Linked DNA regions of Caenorhabditis elegans. The protein of the gene in region 4 purifies or fractionates together with the protein of the main gene of each other region. This does not show direct contact. Each region holds a gene or a part of one and is shown on either strand. Other genes may lie near its edges.

Region 1 (4,023 bases), on a different chromosome or scaffold from region 4:
TTTAAGTTAAAAAATTAAGTTTTTTATGTTCTAAATCTTTTATTTTAAATCTCACCGTTTCCATAATCAGCTCCAGCTGCCTTAAGAACTTCTCCGAGATTTTTGAGACTTTGATGAGTTTGCTCAACGACGCCCTCCTTCAAATCTCCAGTTTTTGGATCCAAGCCAAGAGATCCGGAAAGGTAGATGGTATTTCCGGCACGAACGGCTTGACTGAAATTTTTTAATATTATATGAATACTTTTGTTGATTGCTTATTTTCAGAGGAATGTTGTGGTAGAAAATAATATAATTTCTTGAATACCTGTATGGTCCGATAGCTCCTGGAGCATTTGCGGAGCTGATGATTTGACGGGTCACTTTTTGAGCCATGTCGAGCACTTTGGTTCTCCTGAACAGTTGTATTAGTCAGTTTTCTTTAGAAATAAGATTGAAAATAAATGAAAAAGTTGACAAAATGCCTCCACCACCACATTTTCTACCAACTAACTTGACCGCATCTTGCTCTGAAGTCTCCTCTGCGCCTGTTTCAGACCGTTTAAGCGCATTTGCAACTGGTGGAAGCATCGGCATTGTTAGAACGGCAAGAAGAACCGAAAAAGAGAAGACGTACATTTTTGAAGGGGTTAAAAGTTGCAAAGAGGAGAAATGAAATGAAACGAAATGAAGAGAAGCGCGACGATATGAGACACCGAGGTCACCCTTATCACCGGCGTGTCGCGTTTATGTAATTGGGGGTTCTGCAACGAAACAGTTTCCTAGACTCCTCCCTTTCGATTTTTGAAAGTACGTTGATTGTAAACTTTAAATATCATTACACTGAAAATAACGAGTAACAATTAACCAACAATTTATTGGGTATGTAACAACAGTTTATTGAACTGGAGCAACTGGTTGAGCTGCTGGGACTTGAACATCCTTCTTCTCCTCCTTGTGCTGGCTGTGTGGTTCCTTTGGAAGGACTTCCTCTTGTGGCTCGACGATTTGGACGTGGTCTGGGAGGGCGTTTCTTGGTCCGTTCTGTCCGCGTGGGTCGTATGGAAGCATGATCTTGACCTTGATACCGATGACTCCTGAAAATAAAAAAATGAAGATGGAAACTTACAAAATAGTAATACAAATTTTTAAACTTGATTTTTAAAATTAAAAAACTGAAAAGCAACATCTAAACTTTTCGAACGACATGTTTTTTGCGATCAAAAATCCTTTCTTAACCAAATCTTCCCCGTAAAAAATCACTGACCCTGACGGAGTTGAACGTGTCTGACGGCTTGTTGGATGTAGTCGTTGACTGGGTGTCCAGAGTGAATCATGAGTCCATCAACGAACTTCATGGCCTTAGCACGCTGTCCACGAAGCTTTCCAGAGACGATAACCTATAATTTTTAATGAATACAAATTCCATATAATACAAGTTTCGAATATTAGATGCAATAAAGTTAAATTTTTTGTCTATTAAAATAAAGTAATCATACCTCAACTCCTTGAGCTCCAGACTCCATGATGAAACGGAGAACTCCGTAGCAAGCACGACGGACGGCAAGACCTCCGACGAGCTTGTATCTGAGGGATTCGCACTGAGCGACAGCGCAGAGTCCTCTGTTGGAAACCTTCTCGGCGTAGAGCTAAAAAGTTAAATGTATTTTATTTTTCAATAAATGTATTTTTACCTCGACGGATCCCTCCTCGAATCCGAATCTCTTTTGGACAACCGAGGTGAGCTCCTTAATTCTGCGTCCTCGCTCTCCCAAAACGTTTTGGGTGCGGGTCGCCATGATGATGACCTCAGCTCTGGCTGGGGTACTGCGAACCTGCAAAACTTGAAGCTTAAATGCTATATTTTTGATTAATAATTTTACCTCGACTCCGGAGTATCCATCCTCAGCAAGCTCCTTCATCAGGAAGTTGTTAAGCTCAGCCTTGAAGATTCCGCCGATGACGGCCTTCTTCTTCTTGGTCACGTTTTGATTGGCAGCCATGTTGCCCACTGTTTGACGAAAGCTGAAAATTTGAATATTAATATTAGCGAAGATATTGATAGAAAAGAGTTATAATCCGAACAAAACACAAGAAATATATTTGAAAAAAAAGTATTTTGGGCAAGGTTTTTGTTAAGAAAACCCTAAATTACGTAACTAAAAACTACATTAATATAAAAACATGTTTTAATACAAAATATACATTGAAACATGTGAATTTTTTCAATTTTTATACAAAACATGTTAAAAATCCAGTTTCACGCGAAAAATTCAAAAATTTCAGGCAAAAATCGAAAAGAAATTTAGTTGCTTTCAACGTTTATCGTTGAAGCGTTGAATACTCAGTCAACGGCCAGGCCAATTGGCTGCGTACGTCACCGCAAGACCATGAGACCGAAAAATGGCATGCGCCTTTAATTGCCTCTTTTTTACCCTAGTCACCGAACGAATTTTTTGAATAATTTCTTCGAAGTTGAACAGTTTTCTTTATTTTTACCAGTTTTTTAATTCTGAACATCTCATTTTCTTTTGAAGTTTGCACTAGTTGTTTGAACTGCTTTGCCTGGTGATTAATCAACTATTTATTGATTTCTTTCTCAATTCCGTTTTTAAGGATCAAACATGGATGAAGAGAAAATTGTGTTAATTGGAAATGAATCAGATCTCCTACACTGTGGATACAATTTTGCACTTAGAGCTGGCGGAAAAAGGTGAGAACTGAAGTGACTTATAGATTGCAACAATGATTAAACTTGCAGATATCCCAGTGCCGCTCACTACACTCATTATCAAATTCTTATGTCTTTAAATCTACCCGAAACGGCAGTTGAAGAACTTTTATGTACGAACAGTTGCGATGTTCACCAAAAAGCGCTTGTTATTCTCCAAGAAAATATGCCAGACGGCCATACAATAAATTCATTGGCAGCATATCTCTCAGAAAGTCTTCGTTCATATTCAATTCATGCACTGCAACTCCGAGCAGAAAGTGATAAAGGTGAGCTTTTATAAGTAAGAAATAGAATCTAATATGCTTGAAAAACATGCAGACTTCGAAAAGACTCTTATGAAGACCAATGAAGCCCTCTTGATTGTCTGTGATGAGAAAAACCCTCAACTTGGTATAGGAATGAACGATAAAACGTTCATGGAGTGGATGGCCAAAGAAAAGGCAGATTCGAGACAAATATCCTACTGGATGAAAAATGAGCACACTAAACCAGCTGATTTGGGTCAAAATAAACTAGGGCAAGAAATATGAGAAACGAGATTTTCTTAAACATTAAAAATTTAGACAATATTTAATGTGGCTGAGGTTTGAGATTCGAGAAAGGAAGAAGCAAGGGATATTGACACGTCCTGTAGTGGAAGTAGCCGGATTATCGACTGATAAAGATGATGAACCAATTATGATTTCAATTAATGATCTTGTAATAAGTTTGGAGGTAAGCATTCAATCATCATGATTTTTTTAAACTATCATCATAATTTCAGGGTATATTCCGACCACTTTCAAACTATTACGCGTTTCCGTTTGAAATGAAACGAGAAAGATATCGATCTGTAGAGCATTACGCATATGAGAAGCTTTTTAATTCGCTGAAACTTGACGAGAAAGCAATTGAGAAAATTCAAACAACACCTGCTCCTCTGAACGTCCCTGTCGTTGCATCTAAACTACTGAGAAAGTTGGAAATAAATCCTGAAACGATAGCTGAAAAAACTTCAAAGATGGATCGTTGGCGTCAATCTGCAATGAAGCATAAGATTTACCACAATGAGTATCTCCAACAACTTCTACTTTCAACTGGATCAGCTATTCTCATTGATTCTTCTCTTGGTGACCCTCTATGGACATGTGGAGCAACTGAAGTTGAGCTGCAGCACCTTCTCACAAAATCGTACGTGACGCCGGAAAAATTAGTGGGATGGATGTTGGATGGAGAGGAGACTAATACACCAAAAAGCGTCCGTCATTTGTACGGAAACAAGTCAGGATTATTACTCATGGAGCTCAGAGAAAAGCTTTCACTACAAACAACAA
Region 2 (5,097 bases), on a different chromosome or scaffold from region 4:
GATCAAAAATTCCAACAACAAACACACACAACAAAGTTCAAGTACACACCTTCTTAAAATCTCATAAAATTTCTGAGATTAAAGGTGATTAAAATTGCACGTGAATTGGGTCACTTTTAAGATGGAATTATGGGTATATGTCTCATCTTGTGGTTTCTACTGACATCTTTTTAGGTGACTTATTTTATCTTGTGTCTACAGTCACAAAAAATTGATTGTTACCCAGAAAATGTGTCTACCTACAAGTTTTGAGGTTAAATTTTTTGATAAGATAATAAAAAATCCACTTTATCGATTTTTAGACAAATTCCATTTATGGCCATGAATAAAATCAAATATGGGAATTTCATATGATTGATTCGATTATTTAACCCCCGGTTGCCCTCGTAATACCTATGTGGAAAAGCAAGAGAGAAATAAAAAGAGCAGGTGGTGGTGGTAGTGACTCTCCAGGAGCAGTGTCTCTAATGATAGTTTATTTTGACATAGGTTGACTGCTTGAAATATAAGAGAAATAGTGAGAGACGGAGATTTTTTAAAGAGAAAAAAAACAACTTTTCTGAAAAAAAAAATCAAGTAAAAGGAGTTTTAAACATTTTAATTTTAGAAACCAACCAACATATTTGTTGGATTTTCAAATTTAGACAATTTCCCAATAAAACAGTGATACACATGCGCGGGAGTTAAACTTATTATTAATTATACCAATTAAAATTGACCAGTAATAGAAACTACCATATGTTTCTACTGACTATGAGCGGGAAATCCTGACAGGAATAAAATGGAAGAAAAATGAAAAGCAGTGAGAGTAAATACGTTGCCACGGGCAGCCAAGACAAGGTGTGAAATTGAAGAAAAAGAAGAAGTAAAAACGGAGACAAATATTTCAGCTTCTCTTTCTCCCTCTCTTTTATAATTGTAGGCTAAATGAGTCAGTTGTCAGAACTTGCAAAGGAATTTCGGAGTTCGAGTTGTTGGAAATTATAATACTATGAACTTTAGGTACCCACATTTAAAGTCCGAACTCTGCAAAATAGACTGAAGAAGAAAGAGAGGAGCTTGAAAATATGGCGTAAACACGAAAGGATAGCAGGATAAACCAAATGCTCAAATGTAAGCAAAAAAAAAGCTCAAATGTAATGCAAAAATAACAATGTACCTACATCCATATTATGTAGATAAAACCCTTTATAATAAAGTTGGATGCACGATTTCGAATACTAGTGAATTGATTGTACAACTAAAACGGCACGTTCAAAAATGAGATTGCATAGCTTACTTCTGCCAGATGCTCGCTCAGCGGAAGAAGTCGACAAACGATAGATATTAATATTTATCATAGAACCAAACTGAAACCAAAGAAACCAAGGACTGTATTAGCAAATTTTCCAACTATATTCGCGTCAATAAAGGAAATATTACAGTTCTGAAGCAAAACTTCGATGAATTGCGATCAAACTCTAGTTACAGAATGATTTGGCGTTCAATAATACGCAGATAATTGTACGATAATATAAATACTTTCAAAAAATAACCTACCTATTTATGACTCTTTCTCATACTTATCCCCCATCAAATAATCTTTTTAAAAAGCGTACCATATCTTTCCTGAATCTCGTCATTTGGTTGTGGTCCAATTGTCAAATATTGCGTGGATGTTGGCGATGAAGAAGACGACGGTGAGATGTGTCCTTGGAAGAAGCTGAGGAGATGAACGGGAACTGCTTGATCTCCAAATAATGCACAATGTGCAAGCCAGTAGCCCTGAAATACTTGCATTTTATTTTTGGTAGAAGGAATAAAAAATTATATTGTTGCGCAGTTTTGAGAGATTTTTTCCCGCAATAAATTTCTTCAAAATGCACGTTACAACAATAGTCTCTGTTTTGTCAGAACACTTTATTTCCATCAGGGTTGAGAAGTTTTTCCTCATTTCGCCAGTAAAAAAATGTCTTTAAAAAAATAATTGCTGAAATTACTGGATGAAAAATCTTACATTTCGTTTGATACCGATGACATTCAGAAATGAATTTAAATTAAATTAAAACAAGTTCAAAATTCGGTGAAACTTACTATTAGAAATTAGAATTTATCTTTTGTTCGCCACGTGGAAAGTCAAAAAAAAAAAATTTGTGAAAAATGTAGTTTTTCCCAATATTGCCGTCTATGCGCTAAGGGAGGTGATTCTATTTTGAAAAAAAAATCTGGAAAAAAGTACCTGCCACTGAGCTGGTGATAAGTTGGTTGCCAAAAAGCATAACCAGTTTTCCCAACTTGTTACAGCTGCCTGTGGAGGGTTGTTGTCGTCTGGCTGCTGACTGTTTGAGCCACTTGCGGGAATGGTATGAAGCCCGAATAGATGTGCTGGTGAAGAAAGAAGGAGTTCCTGGAAGTGTAGGTGAATTGGTAAGAAGATTTCACTGAATATATAATCTTGTTAAATTCCAATTTCATACAGGTACAAAGGCTCATGTATGCCTTCATACCTACAGAACGTCCAGTACTTGCAACCTACTTCGCTGCGCCTAACCTAACAATAACCCCTAATCAGGCATTTTTGTGGGCTGGTCTGAGTGTGCGGTACACGCAAAATTTAAACTTAAAAGTTCTCAAATGCTCCAATTTTTGCGGCATTATGAAGGTCGCGGATTTTGGCAGAATTTTAGTTTACGATCGAACTCCATTTTACTTAAAATGTATTTGTATTGTTCCGAACATTAAATTGAAATATAAAACTACAAACAATAACCAATTTTCGTAAAGAAATGAGCGTCGATCAAAAATAATGGTTTGTTAGACCTAGATTTTTATTATTTTCTTTCAAGTTTTTTATATTTTATTCAAGAAACATCCGAGGAAAAATTTAATTTACAGGCCTTTTTATTAACTAGCACCACCTGTAGTTATAAAAGTCTCACTCTAAGTTTCAAATCCATCTGTGGTTGTAATTGCTCCTGTGATTGTGATGCTTGAACATTTGTAGAGGTTGAAGGTCCAGCTTCGTCAGTTAGTAATGGCATTGGCGATAGATCGACAATTTCAACAGTGTCAGCAGCTTTTTCGCATTTTGCCAAAATCCTATCTTCACCATCCTCTACTTTTCTTCTCTTCAACGGGCTTGGGTCCATCGTGATAAGGATAAATGGAATAACTGATTAGTAGTTTAGTATGTGCAATATTTTTGTGAGACTCAGGGTGCGAAAGGGAACAACATACACAAATAAACGAAGATGAAGAACGGTATTGTGAGCGAGTGTCTCTGTGTGGAGGTGCGCGTTTAGAAAGGATCGGCCATCTCCCTCTCTCCCTCTGTGTCTTTCATTCCACGACTCTCAGTGTTTGTTTAAGAACACACTGAGAATGGACACGGCCACGGACGGAGAATAGTATGACAAAGCCCTTTTGGTCCTATTCAGGTGAAGAACATAAAATTCGTTTTTTATGTCGGAGTATTATTACCCAATGAATTTTTGAGCACCGCGAGAGAAACTTGAACGCATGACTAGTTTGAGATTTTCAGATTTTTCAAGATTTTTCAAACGTTGTTTCATAGCTACTTTTTGCTACATAAGAATGACGATAGTACGCATTACGCACTTTATTTATAAAAATTCAAGGAAGGAAGAAGTTGAGTTTCATCAGGGACTTGTTTTTGCTGCAGCAGCCTTATAGTAAATCCAGTGTATCACTTTAGGCACACGCACGCTTCAACATTTTCTGGAACAGCTACAATATTTACTGCAAGATTTTTTGAAAATTCACTATGATATTAGATTTTATTTTTATTGTTTGAAATCTAAAAACCTTTCCGTTTGTTTTCAAGTATATTTTCAATGCTTTTATTTCTAGCTTGGCAAAATGAAACTCAAGAAGATGTCGGAAAATCACCGGAAAAAAATCAATTCTTCACTTTGAAAATTTCTAATAGGTATGATCAGCAAAGCACAAAATGTACACAAAAACAAAAAACACGAAAAATGAAAACTTGGGCAACACTATAAAAACCCGGACTTTTTGGTGGGGACGAATATTTTCAGAAAACTGGAAGGAAACGGGAAACTCAAATGGAACAGAGGTTTGTGTCATGAGATTAATAGGTGGAGAAGTTAAAAAGAAATATAATTAATGGTTTTTTTTAGATTTCCGGTCGATCAGTGACCACACTCTTTTCCGGCTGAACTTTGTCGTTTTTCTGTTTCTGGCGAGAATTGGTTTTTGGCTGCTTTGGACGTTGTGCAGCAGCACCTTAAATTTTCTTTGTCTCAAGAAAATAATCATTTGTGAATTCTTACCCTTAGGCCTACAAGCCCATCGAATAGAATCCAAAAGAATCAAGATAGCAGGTAAGAACACGAGACCATGAAGATTGCACAGTACTACACATAACACCATGGTTTTCACGAATACCTTGAAAAGAGTGGTTTTGATTGAAAATTTGAATACTAAAATCTCACTTCTGCCATATACAGGTTAACAAATAATAGACTGCAGACACACAAAATTGTGGACAACGCTGCCTGCAATGCTGGGAATGCAACAGAAGATAGACAGTTTGCAAGACGAGATGATGGCGGAGACATGGGTCCTTCTTGTATTGCTGAAATTAACTATTACTCTCCAGGATATATCATAACAAAAAACTAACAAGCTTGATAGTAATGATATGATACGTGAGCGGGAATATCGACAGAGAACCCAATGGAGATAATCATTGCAGCCATTGTGATTGGATCTAAATCCACTTTCCACCATGACAAAAATCCTAGAATTCCAGCACAAATTGACAAAACGGAGAGTGAGGCAATAGCTACAGTAAACCAATTGTTCAGGAAAACAAAGCACACCATTGCCATGCAAACGAGAGTTCCGAGAATCGATTGCCACGTGTCAGTAGGCATATTGTCGATGAGATCAAGATAGACACCATCCTCGTGGAACACCGACGCGCCAAAGTCACTAAAATTCAGAAAAGTGTCAGTTGTAAAGCTAATTGTAAGAGAAAAAACTTACGGATACTTGTCCACGACTTGTCTCCAAGCTCTAAGCATTTCTCCACGCTGCGTCCAAATTGTCAGATTATCTCCGTGATATCCGGTA
Region 3 (7,635 bases), 1.2 Mb from region 4:
TTAGTCATACGAGAAAATTCTGTTAAGATCATGGAGAGTTTCAAAATTCAGCGAGTTGCATCTTTGTAGTCAGTTGAATATAAGTTTCAATTGTATAGCCGTAGATATTAAACGTTTGGAACATCTGAAAATAGTTCAGAATGACATTTGGTTTTCTCACATTGCATTTTTTGAGCTTAATGTAGTCATTCCGAAAACAACTAGATCAGAATCATATTTTGGCAGTTAAGTTTTTGCATTTTTGGTTTTTAGCAGAGAGTCAATAAAAAAGTACTTAAATTCTATGGCTTGAACATTGAAAATTGCTTTTAAGAACATCGGCATTTCTTGAGTTAATTGTTTTCTTAACTTTATTCTTATATTGTATTCTAAACTTAAGTTAGCAGAATCCATACTTCAAACTCGGATCACGCCTGAACAGTTTTGGTAACTTGTGTTGATTTACAAAAAATCTAAACTTATATAGTTTGAATTCCACCAAGTACAAGTTTATGATGAAACCCAACACATGTGTTAACACATAAAATTTAAAAAAAAACCTTAATGGCCATTTTATCAATTTCGAATGAATTGATTGATTTTTCCTTGCTAGCTCTAAAGCATTATTCAGTTTAAAATAACAAGCAGAATATGAGAAACAACATTACATTTAGTTTATTAATCTTTCAAAACGGATAAGAAATAAAGTTTTGCTCGTTTTGCAGTTTGAATAACTAAAATTACAAATAAAATTTAGAATTTGTTAGAAAGCAGAGAATTGAAAAAAAATTGATAAAATTTGTAGTTCGAAAATCACTTTCTTATCATTTTTTGTTGATTATGTCGTATGGGTTCTGTGCGTTGATAAAACAATTTATTCAATAAAAAAGATCGTAGAAAGTACTTGAATATTCATATTTGACAACTTTAGGAGAAACCAACAAGAGAAGATATATTTTTTATGAAAAAAAAAATAAATAAAATCAGGACCGCACCGTAGTGCGCCTTCATGACATCTGAGCGCATCCGAAAACATTCTTGAAGAGAATGTTAAGAAGAAATCAATAAGAATAGGACATTTCAAAAAATTCTATTAAAAATATATACAACAATATGACAAGTTGCGTATCGAAAATTTTCTTCAACATAAGGAGAACACAAGATTAAAAATATAACTCAAAGTGAGTAAAGCTCAAAGCTTTGATTAAGAGGTAGACATAGAGGTGTTACAAAAAATAAAATAAAAAGGTTTAGAAAGAAAAGAAAAAATTGGACCACTCATGATGGAGAGTGCCATAATGACAACGGCGGATTAGGGATGTTTTAGGCTAATGAGCCCAGATTCAGACTCCTCGGAAAGTTCGCTTTTGGATAAACGTTGCATTGCAGTATTCTTCGAATTGGAGCACTTCAATTTTGATACCATCTTTACGGAGGCTCCGGCATTTCTCAAAACACTGAAAAATAAATTTGTTTTATGACACACTTGATTAACTCGAATTGAACGATTAGAATATCGAATGAGATATCTTTGAAAAACGTGGTTCCTGGACTGACGCACTGCTCCAAAAATGTATCTCAACCTAGGCGAACAATTTTTGGGGTGATATCTATCCACTATCGGATTTTCCGCTTGCCAATTGAATTTTTTTTTTAATTTTCTCCGTTTTAGGATGAATTTTATAGACGAGGGAATGGATGGGACGAACTCCAAAATTGTTTGCCTGGACCAAGAAAAAGTCTGCAAATCGCAGCCGTTTTTACAGAGTTGGAGATAATTTAATATTTTTAAACTTGGCTTTGGTCAACTAGGGATCCTTTCTTTAAAACTGGAAAAATTAGGACTACGTACTGAAATAGGCAGGAGCTGAAAAAACCATAAGACAGATTGCACCGAATATTTTCAATTTACCCGTTTGTCTAACTAGAATAGGCGAACTGAAATTCTGTGTTAACAAAAACTCACTTTATACAGTACATTATCCAGAAGCGAGCAACTTTTGATGCTGTCCAGACGTGTGGCAGCGTCGATGGAAGGGCTGGTCATGAGGTTCTTGCAACGATTCTCACATCTTCTTCCAGAATCGTTTTGGTCGTTGCCAAACACGGAGCAGCACACGGAGTCTGAATAAAGACAATATGAGATTAGGGCGTGGGATGGGCAAATGGGCGGGGCAATCAGAGAGGCGGAGTCAAAAGAGACAGGTGTTGGCATGTTTTACGTGTGAAGAGGCAAATAATAGATCGATAATTAAGACAATTTGTCCCTCAAAAATAACGATTTCTTTTGGGAAAGTCTCTTCTGGGAAATCGTAAAATTATAGCAATTCTGTGAGTCAAATGCATTTGTAAGTTTTTCTATAAACCTCATATTATCAATAAAATTAGTGAATATTCACAACTTTACAGAAAGTAGAAATTTCTCGAATTTCAGATTTTCAAATTAATTTATATTAAGACAATTTCTGCTCAGGGGAACGCACCTAAATAAACCAATTAAGTTCTGTACTTTTTGGATTTAATCACGCGTGCATTTAGTTTAGTAAGATTACTGTATTTTCTCTAATAGTATTGCACCACATTATTTTAATTGAAAGCTTTATATCTCACTATCAACTCATTTTAAAGATATCAATAAATTTTAACTGCAAGCAATTGAAAAAGAAATAATAGTTTCTCAATTGGCAATATTTGAATAGAACAAACGCTAACTAAAATATAAGCTGGTAAAATTGAACAATAAGGTCTAATACAATAACGGGGAATACGGTATACATTATTTGAGCACTGATATCTACCTTCATTATGAAGTTTCACTTTATCAGCTATTCGAGAAAAATTTGAAAACCTCAGATGTAGCTGAAGCTATGATATTTGTAGTCTCAAAAAACATTGTTCCCGTCAAAACAGCTATGTTTGCTCTACGCAATCTAGTTTCTCCTGGATGGACCTAATCGACGCGTTTTTCATCTCATTTGATCTACCACTCTCTTACATTATATCTCGTCTACGGTATCTCTCATTTACCGTAGTCTCTCATTTCCCATATACTCTTTTGTTGCAACTCGACACACATGACGGTATTGCGGACTCTTTTATGACGACTGTAGATCGTAATTCCTATACCGTATGGCAGATCTAATAAGATGAAGGACCAAGCACACCTGGATTGGGAGGTGTAATGAGGAATAGAAAAGCAAACTGTACAGGGGTGAGAACAAGAAAATACTTATTCAATATTTATTAGCTGATGCCGTGCATTCTGATATATTTGTAAATAAAACAGATTGCTCCCGGCGGCACTTAAATATTTTCTTTCTAACGAAAAATGCAAGATGTCAAAAGAAAAAAAGCAACTGCTCTGCTCCTGTAGGACAATTGTTGCAGGGGAGTCTCCCATCTAATCAATACACCTAACAAAAGAGTGAGTCAACTGATAAAAGGATAAACATGCAAAGATATGGTATCAGTGCTCGCAGTAGAACACTCTTTTATCTTGGAGAGATAACACGAGAAAGATCAAAACAAATTATGAACATTATCAGAGAATTCAAAGACATTGTTATCATAATTTTTATGTTTTCATAAATCTATTAAATGATCAAATGAGTAGGCGAAATTAATTTTTTTTTAACATTGTAGAGAACAAGTATTGAAAAATATTAGAGCCAAATTCAATACTGTAAAGTTTTTTTTTGGCCATGAATATCTCAAAAACAAATAAAGAAGCCTATTTTAAAACTTATGTTAAAACGTAGCCCTAATAGAATTCTGAACGAAAAACGTAACTTTTTGAGGCTAAAAAATATATTTCTAAATAGTTTGAGGGTTTGAAGAATATCTACTCTCGAAACATGATGACAGGTGGTACGCAAGACACAAGGGTCCGTCTATTCTCCCTGCGCAATACCAATTGCCTGCACAACCCTAGGACAATTGAACGGACCACCTAGAACAAGTTGCAACTTTAGAGTTGAATATCTCAAAAACTGAGCCTGAAACATAATCAAAAAGTTTTTCTAACAAATAGAGCATGTCAAATTCTTTTAGAAAACTTGGTTGTTACATTACCAAAAATTTTTTGTAGATGCTTTAGGTGTTGTCAAAGTGATCCCTATTTAGTTGAACAAGGTTCCAATGTTATTGAGGGAAATATTACAATTCGAAATGGAAGAGGAAACTATTTACAGGAAATCAAACATTATTATAGATATGAGAAAATGTTTAAATGCTAGTTGATAAGTGTTATCAATAACTGGAAATGTAGTATGTTGAAGTGAAATCAAATCAGGAAACTATAGAGAGCTTAAGTTGCTTCAAAGACACGGTATCCTTGACATTTATCACAAATTTACTGATATCAGTAAGCTTCAAATTGTTAAAAGCCTGACCGACTTTGAATATATCGATCGAGCGTATGGTGGCGACTGCCCAATGCCCGAAGCCTTGTACCTCTCTGCGCACACATACGCACTATCTTCCTCCTCTTACCATTGTCTACGTCATCGTACTGCATTTTTTCTAATTTCTAAAATATCGAAAAATGTTTGAACAATTTTTTTACTATATGATAACATCTCGTTCTGCTGTAACTCGGATTATGGAAATGCCCAACATTTGCTTTCGAACTTAGCGGTGAAACTTCAATTTCCAGTTTAATTTCACATTGGCAGAAACTTTGTTTCAAAATTGGTAAAGTATTCGTTTTATAATTTAAAGTGAAAAAATAATAGCCCTTATGAATTATTCGAATAATCATTCTATCATAGTTATAATTGATTTCAGCAAGAGAGAGCGCGAACATTCTAAATTGGGGTTAGTTTGAAGACGTTTTACGTGTTATTAAATAATTTTTCAAATGATAATAAATACTCAGAAACAAAGACTTTAATTTTATCTTTGTTTTGGTATACTTTTTAGTATAGGTTGCAGGCTCAGTTTTTGTGATATAACTCCTCAAATTCAGATATTCTTGAAGTCTTGGGCGCTTTCTTCAAATATTTCTCCCATACATTGCATGCCATTTTTAAATTTCAAATAGTTAAAGATAAGTAGTAATAATAATCTTACTCATGAAAAATTTCAAACGCTCTCTCTTTACTTACGTTCTAACTATTATTTTGAAATCAGAGAAGCCTCTGATGATTTACTTTGATTTTTTTCAAAACAATTTGAGGCAAGAATATTAAAAAAAAAATGTTCAAAATTATTGAAAATTTCCAAAGAGTATACGAATGAAAGAGGCAGAAAAGATATTGTGACTTTTCAATGCGTGTGGTCTTTCTGCCTCCGGCCAATCAATGACCTCACGGGCGGGCGCTATGCCACCGGTTTCTCGATTTTCCTCAAGTTAAAACTAACTTGTACATACCGTATTAGTCATTTCCTATATTTCTTAAGAATAAACAAAACTTGATATCTTGGCTTGTGAGGAGAATTTTACCTGAAAAAAAAACGCTCACCATCCAAGTTAATCTTTTTCTTTGGTTCTTTTGCAAACAACACATTTTGAAGACATTTGTAGACATATCCGGGTAGCTTCGGATCCCTGTCATAACCACATCGAATTGGGGTTCTAAATTATACCGATTATCGCATTGTTCGTGCTCGTAAAAGCGGTTCACCCAAATTTCATAATTTCAATGCAACATTCTTGACGGTTTCTTGTACAGCATTTCTCAGCTGCATCTTTGATAAGTTCCTTTGTTAATGTAGTTTCCGTATAGCCAAATGATCCGAGAAACACAAAAATTGGGAGATATCTCATAATGCAACGTAAGGAAAGGGAGGAGATTTACTACTGTAGGTGGACAAGATGCGCTGAGAAAATAGAAGCAGAAGGTAGGAGGAATATGAGCAAGAGACGACTGGTGGGTTCAGTCAGGAGATAGGCATCCCTGCAGTGTCATTTGGTTGAATGATGGATATAGAACCTGAAGAGACTTAGATACTCAAAGAAAGTTAGACAAAGAAGGTACATACAGTGCTCATGTATGCTCCTAAGATATAATCTACTCTCAGAAGCTGAAGAACTGGTCCGTTGTTTCTGCTTAATATATAAGAAACTAGGCAAAACTATACTAGAAACTAATTAGTTCATGTTTGAAACATATCTGCTCGTCAGTGACGTCACTCTCAACAATCTCATTAAATCCTGTAAATACAACTCCATTTTTTAAAAGATATGAAAAAATGTATAATTTAAGTGTTGATTTCACAGAATATGATTATTTCTTTGAAAATATTGAATTGATTGAGAGCACCTCTCAATCTTAAATTATGTTTTTTAGAAGAAACTTTCATAAAACCCCAGTAAATGTTTCGAAGAGCCCCTCGCCGAACAATTTCCAATTAATAGATATCTTTATTTTCGATCACTATGTTCCAATTTTGTGCCTTGTCAACTTTACTTTCATATCTATTTTCAAGGTTGAGGATTAATGCCGTAGATGATTGATACAATAGTTTTACAAAATAAAGTTTATCAAATTATACTTTATCGAGCATACTGTAACCGTTCTATATGTTCCAATTGACTTCATTTCGTTTCAAACATGGTATGTTCCACCTTTGACGGTAATTGATATGATAAGGATTGCCAAATTTGCGAATATCCTGCATAACAATTTGTTAATTGTCAGATTGAACTACCAAAATACTCATGAGACAAGAGATCAAAAGAGCAAGATTGTAGTAATGATAGAACGAATAACAAAATAATCTTCTTCAGTTTTAATGTTCCTTTAAGGTTCAGATTGAATACTCTTTAGTAACTCTTTAGAGTAATATCTCTTAATAACTCTTAGAACTCTTTAGAATAACTCTTTAAAGTATTGTTCTATATCATTTTAAGAAATGAGTTGTATTCTATGGCAGAAACGTACCGAATCGTGAATTGGTTCACTTTACTTTTTTAGGTCTATCTAAGATTATCAATTTACTTAAATTTGACTATTTATTCGTCTATACTTTTCAGCTGAAAGTTTCAGATCAGAAACTGATTGAACATGCAAAGATCTGTCAAAGAAAACAATGTATTAAATTAATTTACAGTTTCAAAACATATTTTTATCAAATTGATATTTCATTTTTTAGTCAAATACAATTCCTTTATCTTACTTCGTTGTCTTCCTATCTTCTCACAACTTACCTCATTCTAGACAACACTCGATATCCCGAAGGGCCATTATATTGCCTGTCTCACAGTAACTGAGTGTCTGCAATTGTGAGCAAATGCTATTGCATGTGCGTGATTCACTAAAATAGCATAGGAGATTGAGTGACTTAGAGATCGAATGCGCGGGAAAGAAGATCAAACGAGTAGGCGGTGTGGACAGATGACGTGGGTCTACAAGTGTAGCTACAACCGAGCACAATAAAGGCAATTCAGGGAAAATAAGGATATATAATGGTGTTGAGCTCCGTTGATGCAAATATATATTGCTACATTGAATTTTATTTTCCTGGCCCAAAAATAACTATCTGTTCATCAATATAATTAAGAATTGGAATCAAAAATTACTTGGAAAAAATATATTTAGTGTTTGAAATTTCACGATGACTATGTAGTAATGAAAATGAGAAACTTGTTAATTTTTCAGATACAATGGAAAATAATAGTAAGAAAAAATATTGCAACTGTGAATTAGATACATT
Region 4 (4,046 bases):
TGCTGAAAGAATATATCACCTATGCATTGTCACTCCAAAAACTTCAAAAGATTTGAACTATTTGTTCTACTTTGCGAGAACTTTCGGTCAGAATGCATGCGTCTTCACCAGATCTCTTCTTCAAATTTGCATGTTCCCAGTCGACAACCATCTGTGTGGTGATGAGAATCGATCAATTGCTGACGCCGTTGAATACTCACTGAGCAACTGCTTCTGCCCACAAATTCTTGATAGAGTGTGAGTACTTCTCAACAAGAATACATCACGAACTTATCTCATTATTTCAGATCTCCTGTTTACAAAGATCAAACTGCTCAAAGTCTATATGTGTTATTTTTGAATCACATGTCAAAACTCGCAATCACCGTCTATGGTAGTTTTGGATGCAATTTATCCCGTCAAAGAGATCGTCTTGAGATGGCCATTGAAGATCTTGGTCAAATCCATTCATATGCTGGACGACTGGAAGAGCGAACTGATGAAGTATTGCTTAGCGGAAAAATGGTTACTGGTAAGATAATTTAAAATTAAAAAAATTATGTTAAAAATTATTCTAAATTCCCAGTAATTCCACAAATAAATCATTGCAGCAAAAGAGCAGAACTACTCATATCACTCAGTGGCTACATTTGTGTTTCACAATCTTCTTGCAATCATTAACCATTATTTCGAACTTGGATTTCGAATGGACCTTTACGTTCCTTACGAGTTCCCATACATTTACTGGTTTATTGGTTCAGTTCAAGCACATTGGATGAGAACAACTTTGGAACGGAGTCAAGAAATTCAGCTGAACGTTTATCAAGCAAGTTAGTGAAAACCATCAAATTGTTACAGTTAGGGTTCAAAAAATTTATTGAACAAAGACATGAAGCCGTTTTCTGTTATGCACTTTCCAGATCCACTGAGAGAGACTAAAAACAAAAAACTGTGGGAAGAGAGATGTAAACTTGGAGAAGAGTTGAAACGTCGTGTCGCTGCTCATCAATTCAGTGTTCTCAATCAAATCGCAATTTCAATGATTTCTGATGGAGTTGTGAGACTGACAGTTGTTCTGATTCGTAAAGGAATCATCAAGATGCCGAAGGGTGGAGATGATGCTGAAAAACTAAGATTCGAAAGACGATTCGAACCATTCGACTCACTTGGGCCTCCAGTTCGTGTGGATTACGAACGTTTTAAAAGTGATTCGGGGTAAGCGTTTACTGCGTTTTTAAAAAATGTCATTTTATGGGTATACAAATAATTATTCGCATTTCAGAATTGACCAAATGTATGAAGACAAGATTGAGACACTGATCGATCAAGCTCAGAAAAGTTTCAATGAAGCACGTGAACATCTCGAAAAAATCGATAACTCTGTGGAGCAAAATCGCGAAATGATGTTGGTTGATGCTGTTTGGTCGTTTAAAAATCTTCTTATTTCCAGGCAATTGATCCACGTGGCGAAATCGAACATTATTGCTTGCAGAGTTCTGAAACTTGATTTGACGGACAGAAATGTCGTTTGGTCGTTTTCAGAAGAGATTCCAATGTTTCCATGTCTAAAAATTAGCAAAAAGTGATGACAACTCTACTCTTGTTTGCCAATTATTGCTGCGATCTCTCCAACAGTCACAATCCATCAGTAGATTCAGAAATATTCAAGAATCATCTCAATAGAATGCCATAAGTCCCCCGTGTTTTTCTTTCATGTATTTTATATAATCAGCTAAATAATTATTCATATTTCGATTTTTGTTTTCATATTTTATTGATTGAGTAATTCAGACTAGTGAACCCCGCCTCCCCGTCTTCTTTCCTTTCATAGCACACGAATTTTCTCGGTTGGTACAGTACATTCACATTGTTCTCAGAGATATCGAAATACATTTCAAATCAAATTTTATGCTTCTATGAACTTGTTTGTTTTCAGTTTGCAAAATATCTTTGAATTATCGATTCTTTGGTTTCTGTATCCAAATTGATTATTACTTATTTTCTAACTTACTAGTTACTTACCATGTTTTCTTTCAACACGAATTTCCAGATGAGACGAGTTGTAGCAGCTGCAATCCGTACAGAAAGAGCCTTCTCGACACGATTTTCCGCGTCGCAGCAGGTAACCATTTACCAAAAATATAATTTAGAATTCTTTGTTTCCAGAAACCAGTTGCATCTACTTCATCATCGTCGTCTGTTCCGGATCGTGCAACTCTTGAAAAAGGAACAGTCCAGCCAACAGTGTTGAAGCCATTCGTTTCCGCGTCACTTCAACATGAAGATTTATTTAATTTTGAAAAAATGGTCCATATCGATGAGATGTTTAAAGCAAGACTTCACTACGGACATAAGGTAGTCTATTTAAAGAAAGGCGGTTCTAACTGTTAAAAAAAATGAATGAAATACGTTTAAAAGTCGATTTCCCAATTTTCTTTTCTTCGAAAATTGCACTGGAAAATTACGAAAAAAACTTCGGGATTTTTTCGCATTTTTTAAAATTTATTTTAAGCTTGAGAAGTTGAATTAACAACTAATATAATTTTTTTTAGGTCGGAACAGTAAACAACAATATGAAGTGGGCCCTGTACGGTGAACGTCTTGGAGTTTGCCTCTTCGACCTCGATATTACCAAAAAATATCTCGTCAGAGCTCTAAATTTCGTTGCTCATGTGTCATTGCGCGGTGGAATGATTCTTTTTGTCACTTCCAATCGAGACACCATGTTTGATGTTGAGAAGGCAGCAGATGAGGTGAGACAGTGTGCATGGTGGTGTAGGGGTGAGAACACCAATCTATTGGAAAATGATTCATGGTTCGAGTTTTCATAACAGCAGTGATGTGAACATACTTTGATCCGATAATTAATAATCTTGCGAGATTATTTGTTTCTGCGGAATTTGCGATCCTGAGCTGTTTTTTTTTATTCAGAAAATATTCACCATTGTTTTCTAGTTGTGAATGTTACTGTAAAAATGTATGTCTTTTAAACAGTAATCTTTAAAAATCAAGCAAAAAAATTTTACAAAAAAAAATTTGAAAAGGTGTTATTTTCCAGGTTGGGCAATACTCTCACGTTCGAAAGTGGCAATCAGGAACTCTAACGAACACTCGACAACTTCTCGGAGCTTCAGTTCGACTTCCAGATGCTGTCTGCTTCCTGTCAACCCTCACATCACTCGGCGAAAACCATCCAGCCATCGTTGAAGCCGCAAAAATGGCGATTCCCACAATTGGAGTAGTTGACTCGAATTCGGATCCGGCTTACTTGACATATTTGGTTCCTGCAAACGATGATACACCACAATCCACTGAATATTTGCTCAGAATGTTCAAGGAAGCCGTTCGAAAAGGACAAGAAGAACGAAAACGTCAGCAGCAAGGAAAATAAATTTTAATTTTTAGTATTTAGTTTCAAGATTTCAAAATTTTTGATTAGATCTTTTGTTTTCCTTGTTTTCTGATTGTTTCTTCATTTTCTAAATATCCAGTTGTTTACCTATTTAAAAAATCAAAATATTGCTTTCAAATCGTAATTTTGAATCACTACTGTAAACGAACAGTGTTAGAACATATCTTTCTTTTTTTTTGGTTTTTTAAAATTATTTATACACCTTATCCCTTTTCAGATGCTCTCCAGGCAGCTGCGTTTTTTAATTTCAAGTCGAGCATTCTCATCGGCTGTTCAGGATGTTTCCTCGACTTCATCTGGCGAATCCATCGATACACGAAGAGAATTATGGCGAAAACCAGAAAATCCATTCATCAAAACTCCACAAGCTTGGGTTTCAAATTTGGATACCATCGAAGATGAGAAGCTCGGACTCGTGGATCTCCATCCAGACATTTTCAGAACATCACCGCGTATCGATATTCTACACCGTAACCTCACGTGGCAAAGTGTATATCGAAATGTGCAAATGACGAAAATGTTGACAAAAGCTGAAATGCCCGGAGGGGGTAGAAAGCCGTGGCCTCAAAAGAAGACTGGACGGGCTCACGTTGGTTCTATTCGTTCCCCACAATTTATTCGAGGAGGTTTCGCAAATGGTGTTCGTGGACCGAGA

The links.
Region 1: the proteins of mrps-2 (region 4) and rps-3 fractionate together in Caenorhabditis elegans (co-fractionation; one large-scale study listed by BioGRID). This does not show direct contact.
Region 2: the proteins of mrps-2 (region 4) and kin-1 fractionate together in Caenorhabditis elegans (co-fractionation; one large-scale study listed by BioGRID). This does not show direct contact.
Region 3: the proteins of mrps-2 (region 4) and her-1 fractionate together in Caenorhabditis elegans (co-fractionation; one large-scale study listed by BioGRID). This does not show direct contact.

The regions. Positions count from the first base shown.
Region 1 is NC_003281.10:6,204,781-6,208,803, reverse strand, and holds rps-3 (Small ribosomal subunit protein uS3), read right to left. Parts: upstream 2,002-4,023; 5' UTR 1,980-2,001; coding exon 1,860-1,979; intron 1,812-1,859; coding exon 1,671-1,811; intron 1,626-1,670; coding exon 1,476-1,625; intron 1,377-1,475; coding exon 1,244-1,376; intron 1,074-1,243; coding exon 874-1,073; 3' UTR 839-873; downstream 1-838. Other genes in the region: RutC family protein C23G10.2, read right to left, coding at 56-213, 305-391, 491-573; sna-3 (NADAR domain-containing protein), read left to right, coding at 2,601-2,689, 2,738-2,976, 3,029-3,227, 3,274-3,424, 3,474-4,023.
Region 2 is NC_003279.8:14,911,811-14,916,907, reverse strand, and holds the start of kin-1 (cAMP-dependent protein kinase catalytic subunit), read right to left. Parts: upstream 3,143-5,097; 5' UTR 3,129-3,142; coding exon 2,919-3,128; intron 2,387-2,918; coding exon 2,219-2,386; intron 1,765-2,218; coding exon 1,599-1,764; intron 1-1,598. Other genes in the region: ptr-23 (SSD domain-containing protein), read right to left, coding at 4,136-4,245, 4,293-4,407, 4,455-4,597, 4,646-4,956, 5,011-5,097. UniProt on the Caenorhabditis elegans protein: Essential for larval development. Controls the rhythmic contraction of enteric muscles probably by regulating G-protein coupled receptor aex-2-mediated calcium influx in GABAergic DVB neurons.
Region 3 is NC_003283.11:9,695,240-9,702,874, reverse strand, and holds her-1 (Protein her-1), read right to left. Parts: upstream 5,861-7,635; 5' UTR 5,747-5,860; coding exon 5,604-5,746; intron 5,555-5,603; coding exon 5,442-5,554; intron 2,106-5,441; exon of another isoform or gene 2,104-2,105; coding exon 1,946-2,103; intron 1,437-1,945; coding exon 1,323-1,436; 3' UTR 840-1,322; downstream 1-839. UniProt on the Caenorhabditis elegans protein: Dictates male development. Probably plays a direct role in cell signaling during C.elegans sex determination. Inhibits the function of tra-2a.
Region 4 is NC_003283.11:8,463,657-8,467,702, forward strand, and holds mrps-2 (Small ribosomal subunit protein uS2m), read left to right. Parts: upstream 1-2,029; coding exon 2,030-2,101; intron 2,102-2,145; coding exon 2,146-2,334; intron 2,335-2,531; coding exon 2,532-2,732; intron 2,733-2,811; exon of another isoform or gene 2,812-2,900; intron 2,901-3,037; coding exon 3,038-3,370; 3' UTR 3,371-3,503; downstream 3,504-4,046. Other genes in the region: natc-1 (Protein MAK10 homolog), read left to right, coding at 1-237, 288-511, 591-809, 900-1,194, 1,262-1,384, 1,430-1,565; mrpl-4 (Large ribosomal subunit protein uL4m), read left to right, coding at 3,609-4,046.